Linked DNA regions of Drosophila melanogaster. The protein of the gene in region 2 interacts with the protein of the main gene of each other region in a pairwise test. Each region holds a gene or a part of one and is shown on either strand. Other genes may lie near its edges. The genes, in order: CG10126 and ced-6.

Region 1 (3,927 bases), on a different chromosome or scaffold from region 2:
GAATAGACCCAAAGCAGTCTTGGGTCCAGACGAGTTGACAGTTTGGCATGGCCAAAGATCAAATCAAAAACCTGTCCGAACTTTAAATGCCCTGAAAACGTTACAAAATATTAGAAGAGGCAAAGGTATATTGCTTTTAATATGTTATGCATTTTAAATGCTTTTGTTAAAGATGATCGTTAAATTAAAGCAATGATTTAATATTAATCGTTGTAAATTTACCTACCCAACCTTATAACCATTCCTTAAAACCCCATTAACAGAGAGTAGAAACAACCCTTTTCATGAATAACTCAATTCAACGCAGTTCGGCTTATAAAATTTATGTAAATCTGTTGGAAATTGAAATATGCAGATGCTCATTTCGAAAATTAGGACAAAGGCAAAACCCGTTCGACCAACGAAATGTATTAAAATGTATTTCGCATTTTATTAAATTTGCCAACATGATAAATTCTTTGGTGCCTCGGCACTGTCAAGCTCGCTGGCGACCCAACTTAAATTAAGTAATAAGTTTTATACGCCTTGACCTCAAGGGTTCATACCACACACACACACACTACCTTTTGCGCAAAGATACAAAGCTGAATATGTATTGACACACTCCTGGCAGACTTTTGCCTTTTGTGGTTCAAAGGTCGGGAGCGTGTGAAAAGCAGACAAGCAGATTTTCTTATTAAAATTATACAGATCTTACGGTCTGAAGTGGGGAAGGCATTTAGGGTTAATTTCGGCACCAGTCCCAAACCGACATAAGGCACAAAAGTTAATGTGATTAATGTTTACTTAATGAAATGAAGTTATCAAGTTGATTTTATCAATTTACACACAGGCGTCGCCACAGACAAAGACCCAAAATTCTCGAGGGCCTGTCAAAACTGGCGCCGGTGTGATGAAGGTGCTCCTCCATCCTAAGGATTAGGTGAGAGTCGTTCTCGCCTTTGACGAAAAAGTGAAGGGGAAAGGAGCTGACTCAATGCACTGAGAATAAGCGAAAATAAGAAACTAGGTCAAAATCTTTTCATAAAAATGTATAGATATTTTTAATCTTTTCAATAAATCCATTTAAATGCAATGTAAATATTTATCAAAAAAAGGTAATTTTTAAAATGTTTAATTTCTTTCCAGCGGTAGTTTTTGGTGGTGCTAAACTATGCTGGGCTGAACCTAATATTAGTAAAATGTGGTTGACAACCGACTGGTGTAGTGTTGGCCAGGCAAATATTTGCAACAGTCTGTGGAAGATCTTGGCTTTCGGATGGATAAAGTTGGATGTGGCAATCAGTGGACGTGGCAAAGGGAATTCCGTGGCAACAAGTTCAATTAAATCCCAGTCTCTGTCGAATTTGCGTCTTTCGTTAATCAATGCGTTTAACGTTTTCAATCAAGCAACTGGCAAAAAGGCAAAGGCAGGCGAATGATTGAAGGGGTCGCCAAGTGGGGGAGGGGGCAAGTCAGTCAGTCAGAGAGACAGCTCAAATTCAGTTAAGCATTTCACTTATTTGCATATAAATTGATTAAAAAGAAAATACACGCCAGGCACTCGCACACAGTCGCAGAGTTTTGAGTGTGTCAACATGGCAAAATGGCAAAAAGGACGAAAGGGTCCTGGTCTTCTTCTCGCCGCTTTCGCTCTGTCGCCGTCTCATTCGCATGTTTGGCCATCTCCCTCTCTCAACTGGGGCTTTTCCTCTTTGGCAATTTCTGACACTTCAAATGCGTATGATTGTTTTCCTTTTGATCAGCGAATTGTGAAGTGATTCACTGATTGAGTTCAGGCTCAGATGATGCGTTGACAACATCAATGCACACACTCTCCCGTTGAAGTCCCGCCCTCTTTCCAACGTCCTTTTCACACACCCACTCTCTCAGACGGACAGTCAGTCAACTGGGGAAATGTGTGGAAAAGGTGGAAAACCTTCAGGTCATATCCACTAACCACTCGCTTGCCTTCTTTCTTGCTGAAAAGCTTTCTCAAAAGCGTGGACAGGGGAAAAGTTGTTACTCTTAGTAAAAGCTTATCGAAAATAGATTTCTGTTAAGAAAACTACTCTTTGTATTAATGAATAACTTAAAAATTATCCTTATTCTAAAGAACACAAGATAATTTATTGACACAATTTCACCATTTTAGAACACGTGTTATTATTTCTTGTGGTTTCTTTGGCTAAAACGGGACAAGTTCAAAGACACGATATGAGTCACCTTGTCCCATTCATTGCCGCAGTGTGTTGTGGTACACCCCGAGCTGTTGCCTAGTTCCACTTACTTGTGCGGCATTTATTATTTTAGTTACTAAGTTTCGCCGGCTGAATTTAGTTGAGTTTCAATTCGTAGGGCGGCATGTTCTTGAGGGAGATTCGCACGAAAGGCTGGAGCCTCAAGGTTATTATAAATAAATCAATTATCAAACAAAAACTTTGATTCTACTCTGCTAAACATGCTAAGTACCGTTATAAAGGGTTTATTTGAGTGCATATTACGCATACGCAGTGTTGGCCGCCGGCAGTGATTCATGACTGATTATTGGGGCCGCGCTAGACAAACACGCTGGTCGAAGTGAAAATATTGTGCTGTCATGTTTACCTGGCTTATTTCCCGTAATGGTCGTATGACATGGTAGTGCCTCTAGGGGCGTATGCATATTATAAGACCCTTGGAACACGTGCACCGACCAAGCCGTGTCCAATAGCAACTTAGTTCAAGGCTATTCCTTAAATTAAGTGTTGTGTGCCGCCTATTGGAAAATGAATTTTACCACAGCAAATGCAACCTTAAATGGAATGTGAAGATATACAAATAACAGCAAAAGTCATATTCGATTTACCAAGTTTATTTTAGTGTACTGCATTAGGTTTTAAATATTTACAGCAGGCCTTACAAAAAAAAAAAAAAAAAAATTAATAAAGAATTTAAAGTAAATAAAAAGAAAAAGTGAATAGTTAAAGATTGCATTCATTTACATATTTTAAATTCTGCGAATCAAAGGCCAAGTGCAGTATTAACTTAAAGAGACAACATCATTTTTATTTCCTGATCTTTATGAATGAGTTTAATCGAAACCAACGCTTGTTTAACTTTGAACTTTCTGTTGTTGGTTGCCCTGCAACTTCAATTAAATCCAACCAAATAAATGGCAAACTCGTGGGCACTTTGAATTGCATACTTTCAGGTGCTTTCGTTTTTTTATCTAGATCAATTTTACAGGCCACAATCACTGAGTTTGAATATTTGTTTTCTGTCGGCTCGTGTTGGCCGAAAGTAAACATTTGGCCAGTGAAGTCACGAAATTGGTGTGTAGGAACCCGCCACTTTTTAATTGAAATAAAATGTTTAGAAGACCGGGTATATTCCACTATCAGAGTTGTCCATTTCTATCTAACAAAGTTGTAGGCACTCGAAGTTTTTTTAGGCATAGAAAATATCTTAGCTTACAGAAATGTATTGTTATCTAATAAATTTCGCTTGTTCGTGGAGAACAGATTTATATATAAACATGGTTTGGTCATGAGAAGTTTATTGTCAAATGTTTGGGTAAAATCTAATTTATATGGGTCAATATATTTGATTAAATTCATTTTATATTATCTTATTTTCTAACAGTATGTATCTTATTTTATTTTAAAATAAAGCTGCCATCACTGGCAAATGCGACCGAGTTATTAGGCGGATGAGTCAGGTGAGCTGGCAGTCCAGTGGGTTTTCTGTCTGGGACGAACTGTCTGCTCTACATGAGCGTAAATGCTTTTTAGTAACTAGTTTTCCCCCGCCACAAAAGCCGGCAAAGCTCATATTTCATTTCCACTCGTTCCACGGTGCTCCCCATCTGGGTGAGTGCCTCTCGTTCTGTCTCGAACCTTCGTATCTGGCCATCTCGCTCTTCTCGAGCGACTGGCTGTTTATTCATTGCGACCGCTTTATTTTTCG
Region 2 (3,927 bases):
ACAAACCACAAGAACAAGAACTTTGATAGGCTTTATCAGTCTGCAACTGATTATTACTCTGGGTCTAGACATAAATATTTATTATTTAAATAAAGTGGTGAACGTCTTGGATTTTTTTGTGACCACTTTCCAATCTTTTAAACAATCATTGTTTATAAACATTTAGGTCACTAGTTTTGTGTTTGGAAAAGAAATGTTTCCATTTATCTTATCTATACTCATGAATTTATGACCAACTAAGAGTGTGTTATTAACACTTCTAAAATTCGAAGCCCGCCAATCGGTTTTTACGAGCAGAGTTGCCATATTTATGTTTAAAGAATCCAGATAACAGCTGATTGCGTCCATAGGAATTTCCAATTAGACTCTCCCATCTTTAAACCAGCTTTGCAATACCGTAGATGGGCGTAATACTAAAGAGATTTCAGTATTGACAGGAAAGGCGTAATATGGCACAGCGGCCACCAATGGGTTAATGGCCCAAAGAAACCCCCAACAACGTGAAAACAAAACGCAACGCAAAGCGAAACACAACAAAACAAAAACTAATTGGAAAACCAATATCGAGGAGAGCACGACTATCAGGTCGAAAATCGGGAGATACGTGGGCTACAGCACAGATATAACTTACATATATGCATGTAGAAGAGGGATGGGTGATAGGGGTAGGGGGAGTTGGGGCTAACTTACTTTGGAGTTTCAGTGTGGAAGTTGAATTAGAAGTAGAAGAGGACGAAGCGCTGGTGGAAATATCGGGCACATTTTCCATGTGCACAGCTTTAACAACCAATTTTAGAATGCACTACTCTCTTAGCGGTTGGCACATTTATTTCGCTTTATTGAGAATGCATTTTCATTTTTGCACACCAGCTCGCACGCACACACACACAGGTGACATGGGCGCTCGCACACGCACACAGCGACACCGAAATCGCAGAACTCTGGGATATCGAAAAAAGGTAAACAAAACTTTTTCACTGCCTCCCTGTGCGCAAGCCGTGGAGTCCCTTGGCGGATTTCGATGTGCTTCAGCTGGACGATGCATAAAATGCAACAAAAATCAATAATATCACCGTTTCACACACGAAATTATTAAAAAAAAACGATAGCGAAAATATTTTGAGCTACTCCAAAACTGTGTGCATGTCAAACTGTCAAACATATGACGGCAAAGTTGCCAGATGTTGCAAAGGGCGAGCTCCCACAAAACTTAACGACAATGATTTCGAATTTTTTAAAATTGATAACTTATTATACAAGAAAGCAAGAATACTTTACAAGCCAATAACCTTGTAATCTTAACCTTACAAGTCTATGTTTGATATAAATTAGTTTAAACTATATCTAACCATCTGGCAGCACCCCAAGTGTTCCACTTATCGGCTTATCGGTCAAGATGACAACTCCAACATTCAATTATCGGAAATCGGGCACTATATTTAAAATATCGTATTGAATTTCAAATCCGGGTTTTGTTAGTCATTTTTTATACGTTTTATAATTATTTTCTTTCTGTTGAATTTTAAACTCCGATGTATCCCGCCGTGTCCGCTGTTTACCGCCGACGTCCAGCTGACGGTTCCACCCTTCTTTAACTTACATATGTATATGTACATTTCAACGAATCTAGTATACCCTTTCAGTCTACGAAAATTTTAATCTTAGTTCAATCAAATGATGTATATTAGTATATAGGTACATAGTCGATGGCCTCGGTTATATTATCTTAAATAAATAAATAATGAAGGATTGATGAATTTATAATGCATATTTGTCTTAAAAACGCTGAGATTGGTTTGCTTGGACGTGAGCAGGAAGTTCTATTCCTGCGACTTTTGTTAGAACCCAAGGAAAATATTACATACCATTCTAGTTCTTAGCTTAGTTCAATCATAAAGTTATATGTCAAAATCCTTTAAGAGGAGCATGCAAATGGGAAGTAAAATGGGCGTAAAATGTAAATGACATTTTGTGTAATTCGCATATGTACATTTGTATATTGTAAGCTATCAAAATATATGTATGTTTGTATGTATGTACAGCCCTTGAGACCGCCCATCATTGATAGGCAACGACTTTCGCCGAACTTTCCTTGGATTTTTCCAGCAGCCGACCCCGCGGTTTTCCGACCCCGCCTCGCTTCCCTCCGCTTCCCGCGACCAGCGGAAGTCTCGGGGCTCTGGCTCTATCAAAATCAACGGGCGGGGCGACTGAAGCGAACACAGAATAATTGCCATAGCTGTGTGCCAGTGCCAGTCAGTGCCAGCAGTTTGAAATCGACGACAACATCAGCAGCAACAAGCATTGCAACAACAGCGACGGCGCGGTGATAAGTCGGCTGCTGGCTGTATATTGCCGCTGGCTTGTTATTTTATTGTCGCTTTTGTTGCACATTGAAAATAATACACAAAATAATTGAATTACTCGAAATGTGTGCATGTCCGTGTGCGTGCCACTTGTGTATGTATGTGTGTGTGTCGTGCCTTTATGGGGGCGTTCAGGGCCCCGCTGATAAGCGATGATCAAGAGGTAAACGAGATAAGCGCTGCTCATTTGGAAGCACAGGCAACACGCGCTAAATGAACCCGCCAACTTGATAATCCGCGATCCCAGAAAACAAAATATTTGTCTTCTGAATTATCTTGTAATGATAATTTGACAGTTATTGTATATTAAGAAGGTCAATGTTTACTTATGGGAAGCATAATAAAGCTGAAATTAGAATTTTATGTTTATATCTATAGTTAGGATAATATGATATTCTCTCAATATTGCTACATTACATTGCTGGCTATAATTTAGGCATTGGAATTAATCCGAATCGCGTTGCTTGTTTGATTTGCAGCTTTGAGTTTCTTATTTACATATGTATATGCATTTTGTGGCACTTTGACAGTACTCCCCACTTTTGATTTCCTACAGTGTTCCCCGTGCTCGTCGACATGTGATAAGGAGCGTGAGGTGGAAACGTGACTCTCGGCGGGGCGGGCATCGGCACGTAAATTATGCTGATGACACCGGCTCCGCACCCAGGCTCTGAAAAAGCTGAAAAGCCCGAAAAACTGAGCGAGCGATTGCGCTTGAAAAATACCAGCACGTTCCTACGAGCTGCAAAGCAACAAGAATAACTGGCTTCGGCTGCCATTTTATTGCAGCGCACAAATATTTACAATACCATTTAATGACATTTCGCCTTATAAAACAATGAGTGAGAAACGTATTTTCTGGTTTCATGCATTTTATTTGGCTAATTGGGCCTTTGAACTCTATTGCTTTGATGATGAAAACGACGCCAAGATAACGTCATGTGCGACGAAACAAGCATTCGAAGTCACGCCCCCTCAGGACTCCCCTCAGCGCGCCCAACGAGCATACGCAGTCAACGCCCCTTGGCGACGATAACAATTCAAAAGAGACCCCGATCAAAATGCAATAGCGAGTTTTTAAAAGCCATTATTACTTGCAAATGGGGGGCAGATCGAACGCCCCCTCAATAAGTGCACATTGAACCATGTTGTTGGTGCCAGTTTCGCTGAGCCCTTCTAGGTTCTCCGTAGTACGAAAAATATCTATGTACTTATGTATAAAGCCAAGTCTCGTAGACATTTCTTCCAAGAAACACAATGTCGTTAAACAAACCTTTTAAAAATCCACATATGACTTCATTAGTTTGTTGCAAGCTTATGAATACATTCAATGTAGTTTTAATGAGTGGAAGCGGTTTAACTAGCAAGGTTGCAGTTTGAAAAGCCCAAAAATAGCGTTGCCCTTTGTTGCATAGGTCACCCTGTTGCTCCACGGAAAATCTCTCAATGAAAAGCCGTTCGGAGTCTTCCTTTTGGCCGGCGGAAAGGAAACTGGTAATAAAATTACAGCGGGAGAGAAAATAATAGCTGCAATATCTGCTGTCGGCGGCGCAGCTAGCGG

The links.
Region 1: the proteins of ced-6 (region 2) and CG10126 interact in a two-hybrid assay, tested with the Drosophila melanogaster proteins (one large-scale study listed by BioGRID).

The regions. Positions count from the first base shown.
Region 1 is NT_033777.3:12,857,634-12,861,560, reverse strand, and holds the start of CG10126 (uncharacterized protein), read left to right. Parts: upstream 1-2,314; 5' UTR 2,315-2,343; coding exon 2,344-2,385; intron 2,386-3,927.
Region 2 is NT_033778.4:9,443,275-9,447,201, reverse strand, and holds the start of ced-6 (ced-6), read left to right. Parts: upstream 1-2,264; 5' UTR 2,265-2,518; coding exon 2,519-2,529; intron 2,530-3,927. Other genes in the region: Camta (Calmodulin-binding transcription activator), read right to left, coding at 691-769. UniProt on the Drosophila melanogaster protein: Plays a role in axon pruning in larval mushroom body neurons during metamorphosis. Plays a role in the infiltration of glial cell processes into mushroom body lobes and the subsequent engulfment of degenerating axon branches.